Linked DNA regions of Sus scrofa. The protein of the gene in region 1 binds, or shares a complex with, the protein of each later gene. Links are inferred from orthologs where the notes say so. Each region holds a gene or a part of one and is shown in the gene's direction. Other genes may lie near its edges. The genes, in order: MORF4L1, VPS72, RUVBL1, SIN3B, ING3, EPC1 and PHF12.

Evidence for each region.
Region 2: MORF4L1 (region 1) and VPS72 share a complex: the UniProt entries of both Homo sapiens proteins name them as parts of the nuA4 histone acetyltransferase complex. The link is inferred for Sus scrofa from reciprocal best matches to the Homo sapiens genes MORF4L1 and VPS72.
Region 3: MORF4L1 (region 1) and RUVBL1 share a complex: the UniProt entries of both Homo sapiens proteins name them as parts of the nuA4 histone acetyltransferase complex. The link is inferred for Sus scrofa from reciprocal best matches to the Homo sapiens genes MORF4L1 and RUVBL1.
Region 4: the proteins of MORF4L1 (region 1) and SIN3B are in contact, whole or in part, in a cryo-EM structure (PDB 8BPA), measured with the Homo sapiens proteins. The link is inferred for Sus scrofa from reciprocal best matches to the Homo sapiens genes MORF4L1 and SIN3B. Residues at the interface, in NP_996670.1 of Homo sapiens: Gln217, Gln219, Tyr222, Ser348, Tyr350, Glu351, Val352, Ala353, Pro354, Pro355, Tyr357, His358; in NP_056075.1 of Homo sapiens: Cys394, Arg396, Arg402, Ala403, Pro405, Lys406, Thr407, Tyr408, Ser462, Phe463, Pro464.
Region 5: MORF4L1 (region 1) and ING3 share a complex: the UniProt entries of both Homo sapiens proteins name them as parts of the nuA4 histone acetyltransferase complex. The link is inferred for Sus scrofa from reciprocal best matches to the Homo sapiens genes MORF4L1 and ING3.
Region 6: MORF4L1 (region 1) and EPC1 share a complex: the UniProt entries of both Homo sapiens proteins name them as parts of the nuA4 histone acetyltransferase complex. The link is inferred for Sus scrofa from reciprocal best matches to the Homo sapiens genes MORF4L1 and EPC1.
Region 7: the proteins of MORF4L1 (region 1) and PHF12 are in contact, whole or in part, in a cryo-EM structure (PDB 8BPA), measured with the Homo sapiens proteins. The link is inferred for Sus scrofa from reciprocal best matches to the Homo sapiens genes MORF4L1 and PHF12. Residues at the interface, in NP_996670.1 of Homo sapiens: Glu201, Lys204, Pro205, Leu207, Val208, Asp209, Trp211, Asp212, Tyr251, Ala252, Glu255, Val256, Gly259, Ile260, Glu262, Tyr263, Val266, Met267, Thr270, Gln271, Leu272, Leu273, Tyr274, Lys275, Arg278, Pro279, Tyr281, Ala282, Leu285, Arg304; in NP_001028733.1 of Homo sapiens: Cys62, Glu64, Gln81, Cys82, Asn84, Pro86, Pro204, Leu206, Arg207, Arg208, Pro209, Phe210, Leu212, Leu213, Ile214, Ala216, Ala217, Arg220, Asn221, Pro222, Thr223, Gln224, Phe225, Gln226, Leu227, Pro228, Glu230, Leu231, Thr232, Thr330.

The regions. Positions count from the first base shown.
Region 1 is NC_010449.5:48,060,111-48,063,610, forward strand, and holds part of MORF4L1 (mortality factor 4-like protein 1), read left to right. Parts: intron 1-1,404; coding exon 1,405-1,521; intron 1,522-3,500. UniProt on the Homo sapiens protein: Component of the NuA4 histone acetyltransferase (HAT) complex which is involved in transcriptional activation of select genes principally by acetylation of nucleosomal histones H4 and H2A.
Region 2 is NC_010446.5:98,060,911-98,065,060, forward strand, and holds the start of VPS72 (vacuolar protein sorting-associated protein 72 homolog), read left to right. Parts: upstream 1-1,350; 5' UTR 1,351-1,462; coding exon 1,463-1,579; intron 1,580-4,150. UniProt on the Homo sapiens protein: Deposition-and-exchange histone chaperone specific for H2AZ1, specifically chaperones H2AZ1 and deposits it into nucleosomes.
Region 3 is NC_010455.5:72,238,381-72,241,880, forward strand, and holds part of RUVBL1 (ruvB-like 1), read left to right. Parts: intron 1-2,485; coding exon 2,486-2,588; intron 2,589-3,500. UniProt on the Homo sapiens protein: Possesses single-stranded DNA-stimulated ATPase and ATP-dependent DNA helicase (3' to 5') activity; hexamerization is thought to be critical for ATP hydrolysis and adjacent subunits in the ring-like structure contribute to the ATPase activity.
Region 4 is NC_010444.4:60,788,861-60,793,008, reverse strand, and holds the start of SIN3B (paired amphipathic helix protein Sin3b), read left to right. Parts: upstream 1-1,348; 5' UTR 1,349-1,403; coding exon 1,404-1,511; intron 1,512-1,746; coding exon 1,747-1,853; intron 1,854-3,169; coding exon 3,170-3,323; intron 3,324-3,869; exon of another isoform or gene 3,870-3,934; intron 3,935-4,148.
Region 5 is NC_010460.4:25,956,000-25,959,499, reverse strand, and holds part of ING3 (inhibitor of growth protein 3), read left to right. Parts: intron 1-638; coding exon 639-735; intron 736-2,523; coding exon 2,524-2,595; intron 2,596-3,438; coding exon 3,439-3,500. UniProt on the Homo sapiens protein: Component of the NuA4 histone acetyltransferase (HAT) complex which is involved in transcriptional activation of select genes principally by acetylation of nucleosomal histones H4 and H2A.
Region 6 is NC_010452.4:42,913,223-42,917,427, reverse strand, and holds the start of EPC1 (enhancer of polycomb homolog 1), read left to right. Parts: upstream 1-1,405; 5' UTR 1,406-1,795; coding exon 1,796-1,948; intron 1,949-4,205. UniProt on the Homo sapiens protein: Component of the NuA4 histone acetyltransferase (HAT) complex, a multiprotein complex involved in transcriptional activation of select genes principally by acetylation of nucleosomal histones H4 and H2A.
Region 7 is NC_010454.4:45,133,256-45,136,755, reverse strand, and holds part of PHF12 (PHD finger protein 12), read left to right. Parts: intron 1-608; coding exon of another isoform or gene 609-670; exon of another isoform or gene 671-1,010; intron 1,011-1,016; exon of another isoform or gene 1,017-1,164; coding exon 1,165-1,290; intron 1,291-1,951; coding exon 1,952-2,095; intron 2,096-3,074; coding exon 3,075-3,173; intron 3,174-3,500.

The DNA.
Region 1 (3,500 bases):
GTTTAGGGCTGTACCTGCAGCATATGAAAGTTCCCAGGCTAAGGATCAGATTGAAGCTGCAGCTGCCACCCTACATCCATTGCCACAGCAATGCAATTTCCCAGCTACATCTGCGATGGACGCTGCTGCTTGGGGCAACAACGGATCCTTAACCCACTGCAGGAAGCCAGGAATCAAACCTGTATCCTCATGGATACTGGTTGTGTTCTTAACCCACTGAGTCACAATGGGAATTCCATAAGCTGCATAGTATTTTGTTTTTGCTTTTGGTGCACTTTGTGTATTACTCCTTGGAAAAAGAATTTTTTAAATGGCACTAAATATTGGAGATCTTTATTAATATTTTTGTAGACATTGAGGAATATTAACAAGGATGTGGGGGGTTTTTTTGTAGTTGATTCACTATGTAGATAAATACATGTAATTTTGAAAATTGTGATCTTTAGTAAGCATTTAGAGAAGCCTTTACATAAACTCATACAGAAAGAAGGATGAGTTACTCAAATACACAGCAAGTGTGTTGTTAGTGCAGTGTACAAAGTGCTGTGGATCATTGTGACTTTGGGAGTTAATGACAAGCTCCTTTAGAAAATTCTGAAATTCTTTTTTGCTTTAGCAATATGTAAAACTTTGGAATGTTTGGCCTTCAGTTACTACCCTAATAGTGATGTTCCTCAGAGCAAAAGATGTTTCATTTTTCTGTAGTTCCCCAAGGGTTTTCAGCTCCTGACATGTGAAGGAAATTCTAAAATTGATGTGGTTTTTAGATCAAGGTCATTATTTAGATGCATTTTATATTGGAATTTGCAAGATTCTAAATGGAACCTTGTGGTAAATAAAAATTTGCTAGCTCCCTTTAATTTAGAATTGAAACAAATACAAATAGATACATAAATAAAAGTAAGATCCTCATTTTTTGTTCAATTCCTTTTAGAAAATTGTATAACTAAAGCCCAATCTCCAAATTGGAATGTTCTTAAACTTCAATAAATAGTATATACTTTCTCAGAAGCACAATAGGTAACATTTCTAAAAACTTTATTGGGGAGTTCGAGTTATGGCACAGTGGAAGCAATCTGACTAGGAACCATGAAGTTGAGGGTTCGATCCCTGGCCTTGATCAGTGGTTAAGGATCTGGCGTTGCCATGAACTATGGTGTAGGTCACAGATGCGGCTTGGATCTGGCGTTGCTGTGGCATAGGCCAGCAGCTGTAGCTCTCATTTGACCCCTAGCCTGGTAATCTCCATATACCACGGGTGTGGCCCTAAAAAGGGGAAAACTTTATTGGAATTCACTGACACAGACATTTAAATATTCCATTTATAAATAAATCTTAATAAAGTTTAAGCTAAATTCTACACCTAGTTACTGAGATTACTTTGTACTATGCTGTCTGTATCAGAAGTGCTGTGAGGCCCAGGCGCTCTGAAAAAACTTTGAAGAGACGTGAGGATATTGTAGCCCTTTTTCCTGTTCCTGAAGGAGCTCCCTCAGTACACCACCCCCTCCTGACCTCTAGGTAAATGCATGTTTTAAAGTTTTCTCAAGGAAATCATGTTGAGGGTTGCATTTTATTATTTATTCTACTTTTGGCTATCTTAGAGGTCAGAGGTGGGAAGTCATTAAGTAAAAAACTGAGAATACATCTAATAGTGTCAATAAAGGAGCTCCATCAGCAGGAGAAAAGAATCTGCACAAAAAGTTCAGCATTCCCTAAGAAATAACCTGGCCTTTGTTTTTCCCTTTGGAAAAAAAAATCACATCAGAGACCTTGCTTTGAACAAAGTCCTACTATATAGTACAGGTAATTGTATTCCGTATCCTGTGATAAGCTGTAATAGAAAAGATTATGAAAAAAAATGTGTATATATATATATATATATATATGTGTGTGTAACTGAATCACTCTGCTGTACAGTAGAAATTAACAACATCAACGATATGTCAATAAAATAAATATTTTAAAAATACCTTGTTTTGAAGTTCCTTGTGGCTCAGTAGGTTAAGAATTTAGTGTCGTCACTGCCGTGGTGCAGTTAAGATCCCTGGCCACATGCCCCAGGCGAGGCCTAAAAAAATTCCTGGGCCAGGGATTGAACCCAAACCTCCACAGCTACCCAAGCCGCTGCACTTGGGTTCTTAACCCACTGTGCCACAGTGGGAAGTCCTGAAGGAGCTTTTCCAAGTGACAGAATGCTTTAGCAACTAGATATTTTAAGAGAGTGGTTGGTTCTACCTTTTGTTATTTAGAAAGGCATTCTTGTGGCTATCTGTTGGAAGTAGGTGTATTCGTGAGTGAAGGTTTAAGATGATGTGGTTGGAGTTCCGTGTTGTGGAACAGTGGTTAACAAATCTGACTAGGAACCATGAGGTTGCAGGTTCGGTCCCTGCCCTTGCTCAGTGGGTTAACGATCCGGCATTGCCGTGAGCTGTGGTGTAGGCTGCAGACGCGGCTCGGGTCCCGTGTTGCTGTGGCTTTGGCGTAGGCTGGCAGCTACAGCTCCGATTCAACCCCTAGCCTGGGAACCTCCATGTGCCGCAGGAGCAGCCCAGGAAATGGCAAAAAGACAAAAAAAAAAAAAAGATGATGTGGTTTAATAACTATTTTAACACTTGGGGGAGGGGAGAGCATGTGGAAGTTCCTGGGCCACGGATCCAACCCAGGCTGCAATTAGCAGCCTGCACCACAACTGAGGCAATGCTGTATCCTTAACCTGCTGTGCCACAAGGGAACTTCCTGTAACACTTCAATATACAGTCTTAGCTGAGTTGATCTAGGTGGTATTAGAGTATTGTAGATACATGTGTCTGACATACCTTTGAGTGTTTATTTTTTGTGTCAAACTTTCAAGTGTTTTACATGTATAATTTTCATAATGATCCTATGAGATAGGTACTGTTACTCCTCATTTTATATGTAATGAAACTAAGACACAGAGAATTACATAACTTTGTAACAAAGTTAACCAGTTTTAGTTCTTTAATTTATTTTTTATTTATTTTTTTATTTTTTGTCTTTTTTGCCATTTCTTGGGCCGCTCCCACGGCATATGGAGGTTCCCAGGCTAGGGGTCGAATTGGAGCTGTAGCTGCCGGCCTACGCCAGAGCCACAGCAACGCAGGATCCGAGCCGCGTCTGCAACCTATACCACAGCTCACGGCAACGCCGGATTGTTAACCCACTGAGCAAGGGCAGGGACCGAACCCGCAACCTCCTGGTTCCTAGTTGGATTCGTTAACTACTGCGCCATGATGGGAACTCCTAGTTCTTTAATTTAAAGTCAGCTTATTATGGATTCCTGTGCCTTATTTTTTTGAAATTAAAATTCATTTATTTATTTATTGGCCACCCCTGCAGCATGTGAAAGTTCCCAGGCCAGGGATGGAACCCAAGTCACAGCAGTAATCTGAGCTTCTGCAGTAAGAGCACTGGATCTTTAGCCTGCTGCACCACAAGGAAATTCAACATTCTTTTTGATATCTTTATACTGTAAGGAT
Region 2 (4,150 bases), on another chromosome or scaffold:
AACCACCTAAAAGTGTAGGTATTCTTATTAGTGTCACTTTACAGATGAGAAGATTAAAATTCAGGGAGGCAAAACAACTTGTCCAAAGTCACACAGCTAGAAGACCTTAAACTCAAACTCAAACTCAGGTCTGGCTGGCTCTACAACTCAGCTCTCAGCCATGCTACTATTCCGCCACAAGAATTTTGGACTTTCAGGCAGAGAAGGACAAACATCAGGAGTTCCCGTCTTGGCTCAGCGGTTAACGAACCCGGCTAGAATCCATGAGGACTCGGGTTCAATCGCTGGCCTCACTCAGTGGGTTAAGCTGTGGTGTAGGTCACAGATGCAGCTCAGATCCTGCATTGCTGTGGCTGTGGTGTAGGGCAGCAGCTGTAGCTGATTCAACCCCCAGCCTGGGAACCTCGATATGCAGCGGGTGCAGCCCTAAAAAGAAAGAAAGAAAGAAAAGAAAATAATAAAATAAAATAGATAATCAGAAGTTGCTTTGTGTAGGTCGAAGCTCTGGCTTGGATTTGATCCCTAGTCCTGGAACTTCTGCATGTCATGCGGGTTGCCGAAAAAGGGGGAATTTTTTTTTTTTTTTTTTAATTTTACTTAAGGAGTTCCCATTGTGGCTCAGTGGTTAACGAGTCTGACTGGGAACCATGAAGTTGCGAGTTTGATCCCTGGCCTTGTTCAGTGGGTTAAGGATCCGGCGTTACCCTGAGCTGTGGTGTAGGTTGCAGAAGCGGCTGGGATCCGCGTTGCTGCGGCTCTGGCGTAGGCCTGCAGCTACGGCTCCGATTCGACCCCTAGCCTGGGAACCTCCATATGCCACGGGAGTGGCCCAAGAAACCGCAAAAAGACAAAAAAAAAAAAAAAAACAACTTACTTAAAAAGACGAATGGGTATATGTATAACTGAATCACTTTTCTGTACACCTGAAATTAACACAACATTGAAAATCAACTATAATCCAATATAAACTAAAAACTAAATTTAAAAAACATTTGGACTTTACCCTGTAAGTCGACAAGGAAGGAGCCATTAAAGATTTTTGAGCAAAAGTGTGACAAAATCTGGGTTTTTAGAAAGGTTCCTACTGGCAGCAGAGTGGAAAACGAACTGGAGCAGAGGGAGACTGACCTCTTCTAAATGAAAATTTCTTGGCTCCCGATTTCTGCACTCAGTGTAGCGGGGTTTCTGGGGGTCACCAAATCGAAGTATTTCACAGCCCAGATGGGCGCCGGAACTGGGGCGGGGAGCTTGGGGTAGTCTCTGCGCAGGCGTGGGCGGGGCTGAAGCCGTGAGAAGATTTCGGGGGCGGGACTAGGAATCTCTCGACGCTCTGCTACTTCTGCCTGTAGATGACCGGCTTCCGCCGTCGCATGCCGCCCGCAGGTAGTGGTGTCGAGAGCCGATCCTTGAGGACCGCGCTGTGTGAGGGGTTGCTGGTGGTGGCGCAGTCTGAGTAGGCACTATGAGTTTGGCTGGGGGCCGGGCCCCCCGGAAGACCGCAGGGAACCGGCTTTCTGGTCTCCTGGAGGCAGAGGAGGAAGATGAGTTCTACCAGACGACTTATGGGGGTTTCACTGAGGCAAGAGCCGGGCCCAGGAAGAGGGAGGGAAGGAAGCTGAAAGGAGTCCTGAAGGGAGAAACCTCGGACAAAGAAGGGGGTGGGGGAAGAGAGGATCCTTGGTAGCTGATACTCGAGATGGGGTGGGCGAGACTGGAGGATAAACTGGAGTCCTGGAAGGGAGAGTCCTGGATGGCTGAAACCTGCTGTGTACTTCCCCAGCTGCATCTCTCATTGCACTTCTGACGTCTAGCATACAGCACATCGTAGTCACGCGGTGTATGCTCGTTGGCCCACTGCCTGGTTATTCATCTCAAGTATAGAAAAGAAATCTCTCTCAAGAAAAAATAGAGGCACTTAGCATACTCCTTTTTCAGCTTTCAGATCTCGGTGTAAATGTCTCTTGGGTAAATAGCCTTTCCTTGATTGTGCTAAGAAGTTTCTCCCTATATATCTTTCGTAGAACCTATTTCGATTTGTAATAGCTTTTGCTGGCTTGTTTATACTTTTCTATCAGATTGTAAGCGCTTTAAGGTTAGAGATAATCTGTTTTGTTTAACAGTACACATGTCCAATGCCTGGTCCAGTGTCCTCATTGGGTTGGCACTTGTTAAATTTTATATTGATTGAATCTAACCGTTCATCAAATATATTAAACGCATAGAGCAAGCCAAGAACTGTGATAGGCTTTAGGGAAACAGAGTATTAAAAACACCACTTTGGGGAGTTCCTCTGTGGCTCAGCCAGTTAAGGGCATGGTGTCACTGCTGCCGCTTGGGTCACCTCCTTTGGCACCAGTTCAGTCCCTGGTGGGGAAGTTGCACATGGCTCCAGCGCAGCCAAAAAGAAAACAAACCAAAAAACAGACCCCACCATTTTGTTCTGACATATTCCAGATTCCAGTGGGGGAACTAGCTGAATTAAGTCAGTTTAAATTCCACATGGAGCCAAAGTTGTTTGGGATAGGCATCAGGATAAGCTGAGGACCATATGAAAAGTGGCCTTGGCTGGCTGAATAGTGGTAGGAGTAGGAGCAGGGGAAGGAGGAGGGTTGGTCCAGCGAGGGGGTGGGGCAGAGATGTATAAAAACGCTGAGATCCTTGTCAGGGACCTGCATATCTACTGTCATTATCCAGACCATGAAGGAGAATAAAGGTTGGTCAGGCTGGAGGGAGTAGGCGTGGGCCAGATCATGGAGGGCTTGTGAGCCATGTTAAGGAGTTTTGCTCTTCATCCAGAGGACTGAGAATATTTGTCATAGTTTTATGATCAGATTTGTACTTTATAAAGATCACTCTGTATTGTGGATTTGAAGAAGGCAGCGGGAGTAGAGAAACATGATCAGGAGGGTTCAGGAGAAATTAAGGAGAAATAGAATCCACAGGACTTGGTGACTGATTAGGAATCATCACAACAACCCCCTAAGCAAGTAGTTTAAAATAGAACTTTCCCATCCCTCCTCCAAAGGCCATTTTCCTATTCCTGTCATTTTACGAGTTGTTATTTAATATGTACCCTTCCTTCTTCCAAAAAGGATTTAAGGAGGCTTACGATATAAACAAAAAGTAGGAACAGTAAAAATAGAGACAGATCAGAAGTAATTGTACCAAGAGCCTCAGCTAAAATGGTAGTAGCAATTGATTTTAAATTTAGCTGTGAGCTTCCTGGCAGCCAAACCCTGAATTTCTTTTTTCAGTAGGAAAGAAGCATACAAGTTCTTTAAGAGAGACAAACTTATTCAACATTAAATCCTAGGGAGAATTGCGTCCTTATATATAAAGTAACAGGGGTTTGGTAGATGATGTAAAAACAGTCTCTTGATTAGTCATGTCTATTAATGACCCTTGATAAAAGCCAAAGGAATGGTAGTAAGTCCATAACTTAGTGAAAGCATTTCAATTGGGCATTAAGCTAATGTGTAGTTGAACTGCTACCTCTGGTGATATGACTTAGTAGGGTCAGAGCTAAGGGGATTAACATGTTCCCAGGCTGTCTTTCACAAACATCAGTTGGGAGGAAATGATGGTCATCAGTGCAAGACTGAAGCTGACAGGCTTGGAGTGTCAACTGTCTGTTATTTGCTTGTTTTGGCAGTGTGTATACCAAGATTAGCCCGTTAGTCTCATCATTGATTGAAGAGAAAGCCACATGTTTGAAGTTCTGCCCCACCCAATTAACTCCTTCGCCTCCAAGTGATTTTTTTTCTTCTTTTTTTTGCCTTTTTAAGGCTGCACCTGCAGCATATGCACGTTCCCAGGCTAGCTGTTGAATCCGAGCTGTAGCTGCCAGCCTGCTCCACAGCCATAGCAACGCCAGATCTGAGCCTGGTCTGCAGCCTACATCACAACTCACAGCAAAGCTAACGTGACCCATTGGGCCCCGAGGCAACTTCCTTCTTTTCTAATCTTGTAGCCCTACAGGGCAGTCAGTTAATGTTGGAAGGAGGCTGTCTGTGCTAGCGCCAAAGACAATCAGCTAGGACAACTTCTTGCCAGAGATAACCTGCTTTACTTAGGTCCAAATCCTTATTCCCTAATCATGCTATACGCATTCCTGCTTCTACACCTTTGTTCCTGCTGTTTGATCTGCCCA
Region 3 (3,500 bases), on another chromosome or scaffold:
GCTATAGCTGCCAGCCTATGCCATAGCCACAGCAACTAAGGATCTGAGCCATGTCTGTGACCTACACCACAGCTCATAGCAACACCAGATCCTTAACCCACTGAGCGAAGCCAGGGATCAAACCCACAACCTCATGGTTACTAGTCAGGTTCGTTACCCACTGGGCCACAATGGGGACTCCACCCAAACAGGACTTTTTAAAAAAGAAACACATGGCCAAAGCAGAATTAAATAACTGGGAGTTCCCGCTGTGGTGCAACTGGATTGGTGGCATCTTGGGAGCACTGGGACCCAGGTTCAATCCCCTGCCCGCATGGTGGGTTAAGAATTGGGTGTCACCACAGCTGTAGTATAGGTCACAACTGATCTGATCCCTGGCTTGGGAACTTCATATGCCATGGGGTGGCCTAAAAAGAAAAAAATTAAATAACTAAAAATTAAATGTAGTTTTTAAAGGATATTTTGTTTAGTATGAAGATTGAAGGTATACCAAATACTCAGATTTGAATCATGATGAAATTTTATCTCTTTAATTCTTCCTTATTATTTTTAGAAATGTTTGTTGGTGAAGATTTGTTTTCTCTAAAGTTATCTTAATATTTGTGTTTGTTATTAGTCTACTTCTCTTTTTATTTGGAAAGGTCTTAGTTATTAATGTTACAATTATTAATGTATAATTTTATTCTTTTTTTGAATTGTTTTTGTTGTGACAAAATGTGTATAACATAGAGTTTGCCACTTTAATTTTTTTTTGTCTTTTTTTTAGGGCCACACATGTGGCATATGGAAGTTCTCAGGCTAGGGGTCAAATCTGAGCTGTAGCTGCCATCCTCCACCACAGCCATAGCAATGCCAGATCCAACCCATGTCTGCGACCTACACCACAGCTCATGGCAATGCCAGATCCTTAACCCACTGAGCGAGGCCAGGGATCCAACTCTCGTCCTCATGGATGCTAATAGGGTACATTACGGCTGAGCCATAATGGGAACTCCCCATTTTAATTATTTTTAAGTGTAAAATTCAGTGGCATTAATCACATTCACAGTGTTGTACAGCCCCATCACCATCATCTGGAAGAGTTTCCAGGACTTTTCCACCATCCCAAACCAGAAGCTTTGTCCCCATTTAAGCAGTAAGTCCCATTTTCCTTTCCCTGAGCCCCTGGCAAACCTCTGATCTACTCTGCCCTGTGCATTTGCCTTTTCTGCATATTTCCTATAGGTGGAATCATGCAGTGTCTGCCTGTCCATGACTGGCTTCTTTCACTTACCATAACCTTTTCAAGGTTCGTACTGTTGTAGCCTGGGTCAGGATAGCATTTTATTTTTGCGATAATAAATACAAGTTTGTACTTGAACTGACTGGATAGAATTTCAACAGATTTCTTTTACCGAAGTTATATTTCTAGAATGTTTACTTACATTTGAAACTGAGTACTCCAATATTAAAAGTTAACCCCAAGTGACCTGCTTTTGTTCTTTGTTATATTGATGAGTTGTGACCATGGACACAAATCAAGTGGGGAGGCCAGAACTGCTGCTCTGGCTCCTGAAGGCAGAAGCTGGAGCCCTGGCTCAGCTCATTGGGCTTCCAGATGTGGTGGAAGCATGGCCTGTGTGCCACTGGGGCCTGCCTGGCACATGTCCCATCCAGAACTGGTGCCATGTGGCCTGGCAGGTTGGCAGGCATCTTCTCCTGGGCTGTTCTCTGGCTTGGCTAAGGATTCAAGAAAAAGCTAGGTAAATGACATGATTGGACAGTTCCTCAAAAGAAATGAAATAACGAATGAATACATGGGAAATATTCAAATGAGTCTTTAGTAATCAAGGAAATACAGATTCAGACAATGTGTTACCTTTCCATTTTCTAAATCTTTAAGCAGCAAACTAAGGATTAGAATACTCACTGTTGACTACAGTGTGGTGGGATCAGCTTACTCGAGTAGCTGCATAAATTAGGACATTGGTTTATTCATTCATTTGTCCAAGAAGATACTCGGGGTTGTGTCAGGCTCCACGAGAGTTGCTAAGGAAATTTTCATGGCTAAATGTATAAAATTATTTATCAAAGCACCATGAATAGTAGCAGTAACAAATGGAAACTGCCCAGATGCCCAGCACTTTGGTGGACACTTGATGGGTTATTAAGAGACTGAAGTAACATGGACAAAGGCATCAACGACAACAAAAGTCTATGTATTTAATGTACTTTATGAAAATTTGGCAAATACCTATATGGATATTTTGAATATGATTTTCAGTAGCTTTTTCTCCTCCTCCCCAAGTGTCCTGTGGTGTTGATATTTGGTAAAATATTGAAGTTGTTTTTGACGCCACCTGAGTTAGTCTGTGCCCTTTGCGGTCCTGCCTCTGACTCTCAGGACAGGAACTAGCTGCTTTGTCATCTTGAGTGCCTCAGCCATGGTTCCAGGGCCTGTTTCCACTCCCAGGCCTGAGTGATGTGGTCTTTCTGGGCTTTGCAGGGGAACGGAGGACATCACCTCTCCTCACGGCATCCCTCTTGACCTCCTGGACCGAGTGATGATCATCCGGACCATGCTGTACACCCCACAGGAGATGAAACAGGTGAGCAGCCTCCCTCCTTCACTCTCAGTGTCCCTGATGCTGAGGAGGAAAGTGCCTGCAGAGTAGCCTTGGCTACCCCACCTCCCACCACAGAGTTGGCTACACAGTAGGTCTCAGTGCTTCGGAGCCTTGGCCCCCATCTGAGCAATGGCTGGGCTTGAAGTGCCTATGGTCTTGGCTGTTCTCGCTTCTATTCTGTCCCTTCTGGTAAACAGGAAATGGACAGTGAGAAAATCAACTTGATGACAGCTATTAGGGAGACCACCAGCTTTAGGAAAGAGGCATTAGAATATCAGATTGTGATAGCCTCCAGCCCAGAGCCTGTCCACAGCCTTTTCTGCCCAGGGGCAAAGCCAGGCATTCTGGTCCACTGGAACCCATGGCAGGTCAGCTCTGGAAGGTACAGAACCTGAATCCTGGCAAAGCCCATCTGCTGTGACAGGGTCACAGTGGAGGGTTTCCTGGGGCTGCTGCTGAAGCCCTAGGGGTGTAGTGAAGCAGCCTCATAGGCGTAGAGGGCAGGTGGAATGGAAGGCATAAAACTAACCTTACAGTAAGAGACGTGAAGGAGGCACACAGCACTTAGCTCAGTGCCCGGCATAGTGCATGCTCAGTTCTGCATGAGTTCAACTTGGGTTGGGCTTCACAGTGGGAGATGACAGGGATGCCTGAGATTGGCCTTATCCCAAGGGGCACAGTCCCAATTCTCCCTGCACACTCACCTCTTGCTTGATCTGGAGATGGAGCAGCAACTGTGCCACACAGTGCCTCAGCACCCTGGGAATCCCCAGTCCCCTTCTGGTGCTTCCAGCCAGTTATTTGCCATTTTAATTGCTGAGTCACTGAGTCTAAGACACAAAGCCAGGTTGTACCCTGCTGAGCCCAGCCATCTGCTCTGCCCACCCTCACCCC
Region 4 (4,148 bases), on another chromosome or scaffold:
GCTACAACTGCCAACCTACACCACAGCCTTAGCAACTCAAGATCCAAGCTGCATCTGTGACCTACACCACAGCTCACAGCAATGCCAGATCCTTAACCCACTGAGTGAGGCCAGGGATCGAACCCAAAACCTCATGGTTCCTAGTTGGATTCATTTCCACTGTGCCATGACAGGAATTCCCAATAACTATTATATTTGTATGTTCTCTCTGAAGTATTTGTTACAAGTGAGCTTTACATCTATGTATGTGATTATTTGATTCCAATCCTCTTGAAAGGCTGATGGCTCTGTGAGTGTAAAAGCCTGGTCGGTTTTGTTCACCCTTCTACTCCTGACCCCTGGCAAATGATGCACTTGTTGCCAATGTATTCTCAGCTTTCCTGCACCTCTTCACACATTGAAAAAAAAGATACTGGAGTTCCCATTGTGGCTCAGTGGTTAATGAATCCGAACATGAGGTTGTGGGTTTGATCCCTAGCCTTGCTCAGTGGGTAAGGAGCTGGTGTTGCCATGAGCTGTGGTGTAGGTCACAGACGCGGCTTGGATCTGGCATTGCTGTGACTCTGGCGTAGGCCAGCAGCTGCAGCTCCAATTAGACCCCTAGCCTGGGAACCTCCCTATGCTGCGGGTGCGGCCCTAAAAAGACAAAAGACAAAAAAAGAAAAAGAAATAGGAAGACCTTGGAGGTTTGGAAGCAGCTATGGAATGATAGTTCTTGATAGCACTGGGGCTGGAAAAACTGGTTAAGAGGCTCCCGAACCAGTGGGAGGGTCCAGTGGGGAAGTGATAGGGTCAGGAACCAAAGGCTCCAGTGGGGAAGTCATGGGGTCAGGACTAGAGAAGCGAAGAGAGGAGGAACAGGACTAAGTCAAGAGCAATTTGGCAAACCCCGTGGCCCTGAACTAGGGTGCTGTGTGCCCATACCAGGTTGTCACATCAACCCTACAAGTACGAGTCAAGAACATTTTATTATATATCAGGCTGTGTAGATCTTAGCGTCTGTCGCAGTTATTCACCCCGCTGTTGTACTGCAAAATTAGCCAGAGATGACAGGTAAACAAGTGGGCATGCCTATGTTCCAATAAAACTTTATTTTTGCAGACACTGAAATTTAAATTTCATAGAATTTTCACGTGTCACGGAATAGTCTTCTCCCTTGGATTTTTCTTCCAACTTTTAAAATTGTAAAAATTATTCCGATCTTGCTTTGGGGGCCAGACAGAAGCAGGCGGCAGGTTTTGGTTTGCTCACAGTGGTATATGTCAGGACAGTCGCGTTTCAGTTTTATGGGGTAAGATCCTACCGCAGAGTCCTTGAAAGAGCCCCGCCTTCAGGGCGGAGCCAGCGCATGCGCGGCCGGCCCCCGGGCGGGGGCGGGGCGGGCTGTGGCTCCGACTTCCAACATGGCGCACGCTGGCGGTGGCGGCGGCGGCGGCCCAGCGGGCCGGGGGCTGAGCGGGGCCCGCTGGGGTCGCTCGGGCTCTGCGGGCCATGAGAAGCTGCCAGTGCACGTGAGTGGCGCCCCAGCTCTCCCTCGAGCACCCCGTCGTCCAGTTCCCGCAGGCCGGCGCCCCCCACCCAAGCCCCGCCCGGCCCCGGCCCCGCCTCGGCCTCCTCTCCGCGCAGCCCCAGACCCCCGACTCCCCACCTCCGCTCCTTGAGGCCCAGCCGGTTGCCCCTCCCGCCAGGGTCCCCCGCCCCCTCCTCCGCAGACCGCGGCCCACCTGGACTTTCCCCTCCCCGCAGGTGGAGGACGCCCTCACCTACCTGGACCAGGTGAAGATCCGTTTCGGCAGCGACCCTGCCACTTACAACGGCTTCCTGGAGATCATGAAGGAATTCAAAAGCCAGAGGTACCTGCCGGGCCCCTGCCCACCCCAGGGGACCGTCCTGGGCCGCAGTCAGCCTGAGCTGGGTGGGAGCCCCTTACCCTGGCTGCCCCATGACGGGGTGACCTTGCCCAGGTGGTCAGAACTTAGCGGATCCTCAGTTCCTTCTTAAAAAAAAAAAAAAACTGGGACGGGAGGGACCCCCCGGGAGGGACCCCCCCCCCTTCACCCGCCCCGCCGTGGCCCTGTTGTGGGGATTCCTGGACCGAGGGCAGGGATGGGGTGAGGCAAGTGAGCAAACACAGGGTAGGATCCCGTCTTTACTCAAAATGTTGATTTTTAAGTGAATTTCATTTTTCGAGGCTTTTTAAAAGTTAATTTTTATCTTTTGATCAAGCAGTGCATGAAAATGTTATTAATTTTGGTTATCGACCGTATTGGCACTGTGTCCCTCTTAAATCTTATCCCCAAGGTGAGTTCCTCACTCCCTTCACTCCAGTCCCAGGCCTACTTGAAGTAATGCGCACAAAATGCTTAGTAAGGAATCTGGCACTAAGAAGGCATTTAAAACATGTTAGCTGTTTTCACAGGCACTGAATCAGGAGGGTTAGAGATAGATGGGAGACCTCCCTCCCGATGGTGCTCTTGTTGGAAAGGATGCTCATTGAGGCTTAGAGTGGGTCAAGGGGTTGTCCAGACCCACCTTAGGGGCAGAGGCGGGACCAGAACTGGTTCTGTCTGACTTAGATTCGCCAGTGTCACATCCCCTCCGTGCTGCTTCTCCCTCTAAGGAAACAGGGTAGGGCCCACCTGGTTGCCTTCCACAGGCACAAGGCTAAAGCCTTGGCCCTGACTGCAGCCCTGAGGGAGACCCCATCTCTGCCCTCCGATTCTTATGCCACTTCCATACTTGCATGGCCTTTGCATTATAGTCAGTTGCTGGGAACAACTCCAGTGTCATAGTCCATCTCTAATTCATGCGAAATGGAGGAATTTATCTCCCCTTTAGAGGGTTTTGACATGTCACTTCTTGGAGCCCACAATTTAAAATTGGCTCTCCTGACATTTTCAGAACCTAGCACATGTGCTTGCAGTGTTTTGGGAGCCGTGCTGTGTACATATTCTGTGGATTTTGCCAGGAAGGCACTGGGAGCCCAGGCCTGGCTGCCTTAGCAGCGGATCACCACCAGCAGAATCACTCCAGTCACATTTTAGGGTGGTTGGTTCTTTGTCCGTTGAGAAGCTTGTGACATGGCACGGTTAAGGGAGTCACGAGTAGATTTCTCTTTTAATCTGCTCCCCAGGACGCCTCTGCCCACTCTTGTTCTTCTTTGTTCTAGTATCGATACTCCAGGAGTCATCCGGCGAGTGTCACAGCTATTCCACGAACACCCTGACCTCATTGTCGGATTCAACGCTTTCCTTCCTCTCGGCTACAGAATAGACATTCCCAAGAATGGCAAGTTAAACATACAGTCGCCTCTGTCGAGCCAGGTATGCGGCTGCCGTGGTTTGAATGATCTGACCTTAGCACAGCCCACCCTGGTACGCAGGCCGGGCAGCGTGTCTCGTGTACTTCATTGCTAGAAAGGTGGTGAAGATCTGGTCTTTTTCCTGAAATGCTTCTAACGCAAATCAAAATAGATCAAAACACCTACCCAGGCAGGCTCTGCATCCCAAATTGATCCTTTTGGCAGATTTAAATCAGGAGTGGATGTGTTTGTGCGTGCCAGGGAGGCATTCTTCTAACACAGTTTTATGTCCAGTCAAGATAATTGTGTCCACAGTCACTGAAGTCTTGGTTGGAGGTTCTTCCTCTGAGTGCCTTAGGCAGGCCTCACTTGTACTTGGGCCTGTGGCCCCTTCTGATCACCCTCAGTGCCACCCACAAAATAAAAGCAGCAGAGGTGCATGTGTGACTAGCCATTTTTGTTGCTGTGCTTCATTTACCTGCTGACAGGATCATTGACTGAGCTCAGGCTTGTGGCTTTGGTCCCTTCTTTCTTAAATGACAGCTTGCTGCCTCTTCTGTCTCTGCAGTCCCTCCTTGCTTGAGCTCACCAGACTCCCTGAGAAAAAGCCTGTTTGAGCTTTACTTTTCTAAGGTAACCATTGTCTTTTTCTCTCCTCGACCCTGTTGCCGTGTAAGGCATAACACTTTGCTGTGGGGGTGTTGTCCAGGGCATCATGGAGTGTTTAGCAGTGTCCCTGGCCTCCACCCACTAGATCCCCACCCAGTCAAGACAGCTAAAAATGTCTCCAGACATAGCCAAGTGTCTCCTGCGGGCAAAATTACTGCGTTGAGAACCACTGGTGTAA
Region 5 (3,500 bases), on another chromosome or scaffold:
TTCTGAAATCAATTCAAAGATCTCTAGGTTAGTGAGAAAACAATTTTGCCACCTTAACGAAGGGCAGTAGTATTACAATAAAACCATTTTGACCAAGCTCTTTGTGGAAAGGAGTTTGCTTACTAAAAACCCCTTTTGTCTCAACCCTTTACATAAATGTTTACAAGCATAATGGTTCACTTTCCTGCCTTAGAGAAACGTATGTATGGAATATAGGAGCCTCTTTGTTTGTAGACTGAGGATCTTTTCATTCCTTATTTTAAATAACAGTTACTATGGTCTGGCAGTGTGGATAGCCTTGTTATAAGTAGGAGATTAGGCTGAAAGTAACCCCAGGGTATACTGTGAAAAGTTACTAACCCCCTCATCTCTCGGATCAGTTACATCTTACGTCTTTCAGACATTTTTTAACAAATTGCAATTCTGGTTTCTTAAAATTTATTCAAGGAGACGTGGGAGATATTTATCCTAGCACCCTCATTTTGTAGATTAAAAACCTGCAGTATAGGTTAATTGAGTTGCTCAGGGATGCAAAAGCACATTCACTAAAAGAAATAGAAATTTAGATTTCCTCATTAAACTGACACTTTAATAGTGTCCCAAATTGTGGTGGTTATCTTTGATCTTCTTTGAAACAGGTAGATCGACACTTGAGAAAGCTGGATCAGGAACTGGCTAAGTTTAAAATGGAGCTGGAAGCTGATAATGCTGGAATTACAGAAATATTAGAGAGGCGTAAGTAAAATTTACAGTTTTCCATCACCGTTGGACAGTACATGTGCACGTCGTTGAGGAGACTCACGTCCCACAGAGACTTTTCCATCTGCTCTTTGGTGAACAGTGGCACCTGGGTGGTATAGCTTGGTCCCCAGCAGTCGGACTGTTTGGGTCATGGATACTTGGAGAGATGATGCAGTATATCAACCACTCACTTTTCCTGAAAATAAAGCCTTAGGTCATTCCATTTGTTAATACGCGTATATGCTAGTTAGAAGAGTGGTAAGAACAAAGATTTAAAGAAATATAACCGTCTAGAAGCAGGGTAGCCATCTGTCGTTAGATGTTGTGACTTTGCCCTGCCTGTTTATGCACCTAAGTATTGAGGAAGGTTGTTATTTTTTCTTAAGAACTGCCTTAAAAAGCTTTTCCTCCACTGTGTTACTCAGATTTTAAAGAGTTCTTCAACACTTCCTCCTTTTCTCAAAAAAGTCTTTTCTAAACTTTCTCTTATCAGTAAGAAGCCATTTTAATATTTCATTGCAAGCCTTGTCTTGATCTCCCGCTATAATTTACCTTTATCACTTCTTGGGTTTAACTCAGGAGACTTCCCTAAAATGGAGACATGAGCTCTGTTTCTTTAACTAATTTAGCATCACTTCCGACCTAAATGGATAATGTCCATCAAATCAGATAGTGTGGTGGCAAGCCCAGTGTAGGCACTCACTAAATGTTAGTTGAATCAAATCAGCATTATGGCTGATTTCTACTAGAATTTAAAGGGTTCGAATATCTCTTTTCTTGGTGCGTTTCAATAGCAAGAACATGTACCTATTTCTACACACAGGTGAAAGGTTTCTTTACGGTGCTAGGTTATATATCCCTGTTTATGTATTCACTAGAAGTCAGCTAGGGAAGCAACCGGATATGAATGTACCCACAGTTGCATTTTTGTATTCAAAAATAAGCCCATCACTTTAGATGACCATCTAATTTATTGTGATGTTTTTATTCCAGGGGAACCCTTACCAAGAATAATAGCTATTTTGAGACAAAATAAAATATTTTATTTTTCTGAAATGCCAATAATAATTGTGAGTAACAGTAATCCATGGCTATTCAGTACTGCAGGAAGGTTAATGAAGCATCCTCTGTAAGGACACAGACATATGAAACTAAATCAAATCAAGTTAAAAAATGGCTCCACCCTGCGCCCTGCCATGATTTCATCTCAAGGGATCTAGATAAACCCAGAAAATTTCTTCAAAAGTATTTTAAAGCTTGGCGGTAAAGATTTTATGCATCATTTTTCATGAGCAAAATCCCTTCTTTTAGAAAGTCTTTGCTATCGTATGTCATTTTAATGATCAGAGAATTTTCTTTCATACAGTGATGTCCCATTGCCTAATACTTTAGGATCTCCTATTAAAAGGTCTTCAATAACACTATGTTGAGTTTTTCAGTTCTTATCAGTAATGGAATCATGATACTCATTCATCCACTTACATGGTCCCAAATGTCATGAATTCCCTAATTAGACATTAGCGTGCCTTGACCTATTTTGTACTTAAGGTGAGCACTGAAAAATGGATTACTTACTGTTTAGAAAGAGGATGAGGTTGGCTCAGGGTGAAATTGGCGGTGGTGACCCTCTAATGTGTTTGGCTAAAATAATACAGACACAGGCATCAGAGCTTGCCAGACATCTCCTGGTTAAGGGTACCCAGTGCCTGTAGTTGATTGACACATAAAGTTCTCTGCTGCGATCTCATGGCCCTGTATCTCTGTGCCTCCCTGTTTTTTTAGGATCTCTGGAATTAGATACGCCTTCACAGCCCGTGAACAATCACCATGCTCATTCACATACGCCAGTGGAAAGTAAGTTTGATTTAGGGCAGCTAAAATTATTTTAAAGACAGTTGAAAATTCATTGTATTACCTATATGTTCTCTTTCATTACCTCTACACGACTGATTGAGAAACAAATATCCTCCCCTTTTATTTTGTGAGATATGTTTTTTCATGCAATTACTGGTGGATTTATCTTCTTCATTTGGGAAGAGCAGATGTGATTTGGGAACAGGTAGCCTGTTTTCCCTGGGATTCACAGAGGGCGATGTGTGGTACTAATAGCAGCATATACTCACTGCATATCGATACCTGCTTCTCTCCAGGGAGCATTATAACTGAGCAGAACAGTAAACTCCACAATTATGGGCTCTTTATCTTTTTCATCCTTGCTTCTCTAGTGCTTACCTTACTGTCTGGCATATAGTAAATTCTCAAATAGTTTGGTGAGTTAGTGAGTGAATGAATGGTCTGTCAGATGCTAGCTGGCTAGATGACTGTATCGGTGCATTTTTTTGCTATGAAAGAAAGGTTGATGGAAGACTATTTTAAATTGTAGAAAATGTTTTGAAAACAAAATTCCCCACATGTTATATGTTAAACCATGTGCATCACGGGTTATCTTCAGTACATTGCTACAAAAAAGTTTTTTTAGTGTCTACTCCAAAAAAGTTTATTGTCTACGCAGTCTGCTCTTAGGAACACGTGTGAGACAGGATTCTGTTTGTCTTGTCTTCTAGGAAAACATAATGTTCTGTATTCCATGAGGAACTCAGGTCATTACTATATTGGCTTATGACCAGATGAAAGTATTATGCCTTTTCCATTGTTCTCTAAAATTTAAAAACACATAAATTCTTTATTTATATTCAGAAAGGAAATATAATCCAACTTCTCACCATACAACAACAGATCATATACCTGAAAAGAAGTTT
Region 6 (4,205 bases), on another chromosome or scaffold:
TTGCCGAACCTATTAAGCCTATCCCCAAAGTCTCTGGTTTTTAAAATATTCTGCTGGAAAGAGCGCTCTGGATATTCATTTTCGTGTGCGGTAGAAACCAAGCGATAGCCATCAAGTCCATCTAAATCCCTTCTAATAGTACAGTTTTTCTTTCTAATTTTTTAAAATGTATTTTTTGGTTTGGCAGGAGCATTATAGGTCTTCCTATAATTTTATAAAGTTTCTCAGAGAACAGATGATAAATATCAACCCATGGCTACACTGAAGCAGCATTTTCTTCCAGTACAGAAAAATCACCTGACTCTAAAATTTGTGTTTGTGCACACACACGAGTGCTTGAGCTATATGGTAGGTCCTTCTTTATTTATTTTATATATAGTAGTATGTATTATGTCACTCCCCAATTTCTAATGTATCCCTTCCCCTCACCTTTTCCCTTTGGTAAGTTTGTTTTCTATGTGTGAACCTGTTTCTGTTTTGTAAATAAGTTCATTTGTATCTTTTTTTTAAGATTCCACATATAAGTGGTATCCTGTATTAGTCCTTCTCTGACTTACTTTACTCAGTATGATCATCTCTAGGTCCATCCATGTTGCTGCAGATGGCATTAGTGTGTTCCTTTTTTATGGCTGAGCAATATTCCATCGTGTATATGTACCACATCTTCCTTATCCGTTCCTGTCTGTGGATGTTTAGGTTGATTCTTGGCTATTGCGAATAGTGTTACAATGAACATTGGGGTGCATGTGTCTTTTTGAATTGGAATTTTGTTCGGATATATGCCCAGGAGTGGGATTGCTGTATCATTGGGTTGGCTCTAAAATTTTGACGTAGGTCTTGCTTTAATTTTTTTCCTGAAGGTTACGGTGTCCGATAATAATTATTTCCTTTGCTTCAGTGACAATAAGAGAGTGACTATGGGTCGATAAAATGCAAGATTAAAAAAGAAACAAAACACTAAACCCTACTTTGGAGCAGCTAGGACGCCTGCTTATACTGAGCCCAGTGATGGGAACTGACCCGTGATCTGATGCGAGCCCATCAAATACAATTCAGAGTTTCCTTAGACGCAAACATAATGGCTGGTAAAAGTTCACCCGAAGTGGCGTTGCGCCCTGAGCGTCCTTTGCATTTTCCTTCCGAGGCCTCAACGCGCCGGCTGGCGGGGCTTGGGCGCCCGCTCACCCAGGACCCGGCCGCCGGCGGTGACAGGTGCCATCCCGACCCCGCGCCGCCCGCCGCCGCCGCCTCGCGGAGCTTCCCTGCACCCTGGCCTGTCAGCAAACGGCGCCGCGCGGGAGCGAGCGCGGGCCGGCGGGCGCGCGGGCCGGCGAAGCCGCAGCCGGCCCCCGGCGTCCGGGCGCCCGGCCCGTCCGCCCGCGGCCGCGGGGGCGGGGGCCGAGCCGCCGGGCGCGGGGAGCAGGGCCGGGCGCCGGGGGTTGGCGGGACGCGCGCTCCGTGCCGGCGCCCGGCCTCGAGCCCGCGCCCCCCCCGCGTGCCCGCGCCGCTGCGCGATGCAGTGTGGGGAATGGCTGGGGTTGGCTGAAGAGCGCACAGTGGAGTTTTAATGTCCGCCATGTTGGCCATGGCGTATTGAGGAGAGCGAGCGAGCGAGGAGCGGAGCGGCTCGGCCTCCCACCTCCCGGCTGCTTCGAGTGCCCGGACGGCGGGCTCCGCGCTCCGCCCCTCCAGTCCCCGGCAGCGGCGGGCGAGTGGGGACCGAACCCCCGGTTCTCCATGATCCCGCTGGCCGGGGCCGTTTCCCCAGAGCGGAGAGGTATCTGCTGCGCCTGAGATGAGTAAACTGTCGTTTCGGGCGCGGGCGCTAGACGCCTCGAAGCCGCTGCCGGTTTTCCGCTGTGAGGATCTGCCCGACCTGCACGAGTACGCCTCGATAAACCGGGCCGTGCCGCAGATGCCCACCGGGATGGAGAAGGAAGAGGAGTCGGTACGTGTTAACTCCCCTGTCCGACCCGCCGCCAGGCCCCGCTCCCTCCGCTGCCTGCGGCGGCGGCGGAGCACAGACCCACACAAAATGGCCGCCATCTTCTCGCCGCCGCCGACTCCCGGCGCCGGCCGGGCCCTTACCCCGCCGCCCCCGGCCTCGACCCCCGGCCGCCGCGGCCCGGCGGGGCCTCCTTTCGGGCCACCCGCCGACCCCGGCCCCTTGGACCCGGGCCCCGCGCAGTTCGGGCGCCCGAAAGGCACAAAGGGGTCACGTGACAAGGCTGCCGGCAGCCATTTTGTGGTCGGAGCGCTTGGGCTGGGCCTGGTGCATCCGGAGAGGGAGCGGGCCGGGCGGCGGGGGTGCAGCGGCGGGCCCGCCTGCAGCCCTCTCCGCGGGCCGCTGGGTGGCGCTCTGGGGCCGGCTCGGCCTCCGCGCGCCGCCGGCGCCGGGAGCGCTGGTTCCGGGCGCGCCGGGGCACTGCTCGCCCGGCTGCCTGCGATCCGGTCCGGCGGTGCGGCCCCACGTGGAGCCCCGGCGGCCGGGCAGGGGGCGGCGGGACTGCGGGCCGCGGGAGGTCCCGGTCTGCGGGCGGCTGGGATCGGACTCCTCCTCTCCGTCCTCTTTCGGGACTTTTGCATCCACTTCTCCCGACTTCCAGTTAGTCGGAGGGTGGGTGGTGAACTACTTCTGTTCCCGACTTTTGCTTTGATCCTGGAGAATACGTTGCAGATCTGGGGCGTGTTGGTGGCTTTTCTGAAAGCCCGTAACTTTATTATTACTTGTTTCCCCGAATCAAACCTATTTCCGCCTGATTGCTGGTTGCTCAACCTAGAGGAGAAAAGACCGCATTTAAAGAAGATGTCCTAGATTTGAATTTAGAAGGTGGGCTCTTATTCGTAACCGAACAAAAGTTAAGTGATTTCCTGCACCGAAGTCTTAACAGGGAGATGTCTTAATCTGGGTGGGTGTCTCTATCTTAAGTGTTTTGCATCATACAGACATTTTAATCGTAGCCGTGGCTTTCCCTTGTCGTGGAAGTTGGGCTCAGACACAGGGATAATAGAAAAAGCCTCTCCTTTGCCCCAGATCCTTGACAGTGTAACTTGCTGACTTGTAATCCTGAGGAATTGCATACCTTGGTTTTCAGGTACAGCCATTTTAACAGGGTGCAGTGTATTGACAGTTCAAGGAAGTGGAGGAGTCCCTGGATTTGTGCTACAGATTGGTTTTGGAAAATTGCCTTGTATTACCTCCATTTGGTACTGTAAGAATTTTAAATGTGGAAATTATTCTCTGTAACGATGACTTTGAAAATAAAGCTGTTTAAACTGTTTGGGTTGTTTAACCTTTTAAAGTCAAATAGTTGTGACGGTCGAGTGTTACTTTTGAGAGTAGATGCATTTATTAGCTTCTGTAGCAGTTGTAGCAGCACCAGCGCGGTGCTGACTTTGAGAAGGAACCTCTTAATTTATTTTACCTGTATCAACTTTAGAGTAGAATGGTGCCATTTGTTGACTTTTAAATAAGTGACTTGTTTTTAAAAATTAAAGTACTTGTGATTGCAGAATCTTGTCTTTTGGTTTTATTTTTGTTTCTGTTGATAAGTTTTACAGATACTCCTTTCAAGTTGGGGTGTCAATATTAACACTGCCCTGGAAATTCATTTGTAGTTTTTGTTTTGCAGGCGAGGAAGGGGAGAGACTTGATAAAAGCAGGTAGCACTATAGTATACTGAGAAATTTAGTTCAGTCTTGCTTCTGTGGATACTTTGGACTGTCCCAGGAGCCACAACCTGAAGTCAAGAACAGAGCTCAACCGAAGTATCAATGTTTATTAAATTTGACAGATAATTCTTGTTCACTGCAGTCATTCTCACGTTTTATAGCACAGTGGACATCATTCCCTTGTAACACGTGTAGTCTGTTTTTAAGGGATTTTTTCCCCTTCAGACTACCTTTTGCCATCATCTCTTTAGAATCAGTTTCACTTCACGGCCAACCAAAACTAAGACCAGTGAAACACAGACCTCAGGAATAGATAGCTGAATAGAAGAGTGTAAGCAGTCCCAGGTGAACAGCTGCTTTGCAGTCCTGAGGTTCAGCCTGGTAGGAAGAGGGGAAGAAGAGGCGGTACAGATCATAGTGTTGAATGTAATTCATAAATACTGAAAATGTGTGTGCTAAGCACAAATAAAAAGTAGTTGAGCTCTGAGTTAGCCTTAGAAAAACAAACTTTTTGATTATTTTTGGCTGAAAAA
Region 7 (3,500 bases), on another chromosome or scaffold:
TCCCTGTGAATATTTCGGAGGACTCTGATCTCTATTATTTGTCCTCCACACCGCCCCCCCCGCCCCAATTCTGTGATAGAAGAGAAAGTACATGTTAACTTGTCCCTGTTTTATAGGCAGGACTGCGTAGGCTCTGAAAGCTAAAGTGGTAATTGCGTAAGGTGGCCTGCCAAGTCAGAGCAGGATTATAAAGACAGCCTGGGTCTCCTGACTCCACCTTTCCACCCCTTCCAGACTTAGTCTCCTGCCTGTTTGGTTCCATCACCTTAGAGGAAAGCAGCATGCTCTCTGGAGCCCTGCGCTCAGCCTGTGGTTCTGGGCTATGGCCTCAGTGCTTCTTGACCCACACCTGATCCAGATCCTCGGCACTGGCTCATTTTGAAGGAATTTCCATGTCAGGGAAATTAGGGATATAAAATAACACTGCCTTTGAGGGTACGCAGAGTGGGATGCCCACAGAGATTGGTCTGGCCCAAATGTTTGCCCTCAGGCCACATGCCAAAAGGCAGTCCCTTTATCCATAACTGGCCTGGTATGGACCCGCTCTTTCAGCTGTCCCCAGTCAGCATTCAGGACCTCAAGGTTGCTGATGCCAGCATCTGAACCAGGTTTCAGATGCTGCTGGAACCCCCTGTGGTCTCTCCCGACTGAACTGAAGCTGGCCTCCTAGTCAGCTGGGAGTCTCGGTAACCAGGTGACTGTGACTTCTCTGCATGGGGGCCCCTGGTCCCAGGATGGCCCCTACTCTCAGGCTCTTTTCCTGTTTCTCTGTCAACACCAACCTAGGTAGATTTTGCACCCCGTGAGTTCTGCTTCAGTACCCAGGAATTGCGGAGGCAGGCATCACTTATTTGAGTGAGTAGAGGCAGCAGGGAGGTAGTCATGGCCCAGAGAATGAAGCTGTCCCACCATGTTCCCCAGAGCAGTAGGTTTCACTGGTTCTTGGTGCTCTGGAGACTCCTGCGTGCCCGGGTGCATTGTCGTTCCACCTGCCCTTCCTCACCACACGTTTTTAGCTCTAGGAGTTCCAGAGCCTATGGGGTGAGAATCAAGAAGGGAACATCACCTTGGGTCCGAAATCCAGACCTATCTCGGCAGTGGGGGATTGGACCGGTGGGTTTCCCTGAGGCGACGTAAGTAACAGTCTTCCTGCTCCGTCCCCAGATGGCAAGGTCAGCCCCGGCACGTTATCCATAGGAAGCGCTTTAACCGTACCCTCTTTCCCAGCCAACTCTACTGCCATGGTGGACCTCACCAACTCACTTCGAGCATTTATGGATGTCAATGGAGGTGAGTGAGCGAGCTGCTGCTCCACCACCAGCTGCCATGGTGAAGGTGCTGCCCCTGTGCAGCATTCAGCTCATTGAAAAGGGCCAGAGGGCTGTGGGGTCTCAGAGGGCTGGGCGGTGGGATAGGAAAGAAAGCCCCTTGAGTTTCTGCCTTGTGCACATGCATACACACATAATCAGAGCCAAGTGGAACCAGTGAGAAGAGAAGAAAGGCATTTTAGGCAGATCACTTGGGCTTGAAGAATAAGACCAGGAGGAGCCTCACCCCCAAAATAGGGACCTCATCTGTGAGAAACCCGCGAAATCAGGGAGAACCGGGCAGGCCAGGATCACTATGAACAGTGGGAGGGTGGAAACTCCACGCCTCTGTATCAGACATCTGGGCCCTCCCCACGGGCAGGCAAGTGCTCTGTCTTCACCTTTCTAGGGCCACTTTACCTCACTGGGGAGGTGTCTGCACAGGCCGTGTTAGGGCCTCGCATTGCACATGCCTAGTGAGATGCTCGGCTCCAGATCTTTGTACCGCTTTGTACTCTGGTTTGGGAAACATCATTTGGCTTAATTTTAGGATTGCTGAAATATTTGCTGTCTGACCCTCACCTCCTTCCACCTTCCATTTCCTCCTCAGCTGCTTTTTTTTAATCTTTTTCTTTGGTTAATAGAAATCGAGATAAATATGCTGGATGAGAAGCTGATCAAGTTTCTGGCCTTGCAGAGAATACATCAGCTTTTCCCCTCCCGGGTCCAAGCTTCACCGGGCAGTGTCGGGGCACATCCGCTGGCTTCTGGAGGCCACCACACAGAAGGTGCGTGTGCCCACATCTGCCACCACAGCCCACCGTTAGAGCTCCCCTCTGCATGTGTGAACAGCCGTCTCCCCTCCGTGGGGAATCTCAGCTTTCAGTCTTCCCGTCCTCCCTGTCTGCCTTTACTGGGCTTAATGAAGCACCATGGTTTCTTTTCTCAGAAAGCAGAAAAAAGATGGCAGCCACAGCTTTCAGATCAGACTCGGGAAAGTCTGCTGTGACTCTTTCATACACATCCACTTGGGGACACAGAAAGCAGCTATGAGTGCCTTTGGGTATATGTGGTGTGTTTTCTGCTCAATTCCTTTCAAGTATTTGAATTAGAAGGGTTTCCCAAAAGGTACTTTTTCAAGTTTAAGGTTAGAAACAATAACAGTTGGGCTAGCCTCCTGGAAATTCTTCCCAAAAGGTTAACTCTGCTTAGGGTATCTTCTTGAGGATTAGCCATTAAAAGCCTTGCTGTTTAGAAGTGTGGTCCTCGGACCAGTAGCATCAGCATCACCTAAGAGCTTGTTAGAATTGCAGAGCTCAGGCTGCACCTCACGCCTATGGAATCAGAATCTACGCAGGGTCCCTAGGTGATTCATATTTAAACTGAGAGAAACATTGGTCTGTGCTTTCTGGGTTTTTTTGCACAACCTTCCTATAGTATCTGTTGTAATATCTCTGATAAACCACCCAACAGCCCAAGAGCTCCCAGTATTATCGTCCTTGAATTATATGGCCATCTTCAAAAATGGTCCTTCTTATTACCCCATGTGGGAAATGCTGTAAGTGGGGAGAGAAAGCCTCCCCCTGAAACAGCACAGTGTCAGATGTGTGTTTGGAGAGATGATTCATGCAATGGGATTATCTTCTCCAGACCATGAGCCAGAGGTCCAGGTCCTTTTGGTTTGTGTTTGAGCACAGGTTCTGTTGATGCGTGTTTGGGTCCCAGGTTCTGTTTCTGAATGATCACATCCCTGTGTTTGCCTTGTAGTGCAGAGAAGGGAGGTACAGGCCCGAGCTGTGTTCTACCCCCTCTTAGGGTTGGGAGGAGCTGTGAACATGTGCTATCGAACCCTCTACATCGGGACAGGTGAGCTTAAAGATGGATACCTTCACCCATAGAGGCTAGAAGGGAGGAGGGAGGCACCCTTCAGGGCTCACTGGTTTAACCAGCAGGTGTCTGGACAGGGACCAAGAAAGGTAACTCTCAGCTGTTTGTCTTCCCTGCCTCAGGTCCTTTTGCCTTGTGCCCAGTATGGCATCTGGAGAGCTGAAAGTCAGTTCTGACTGCTGCTCAGTGAGGCATTCTATCTTTTTTTTTTTTTTTTTTTTTTTAAGGGCCACACCCACGGAATATGGGATTGAATTGGAGCCATAGCCTCTGGCTTACACCACAGCCACAGCAACACCAGATCCA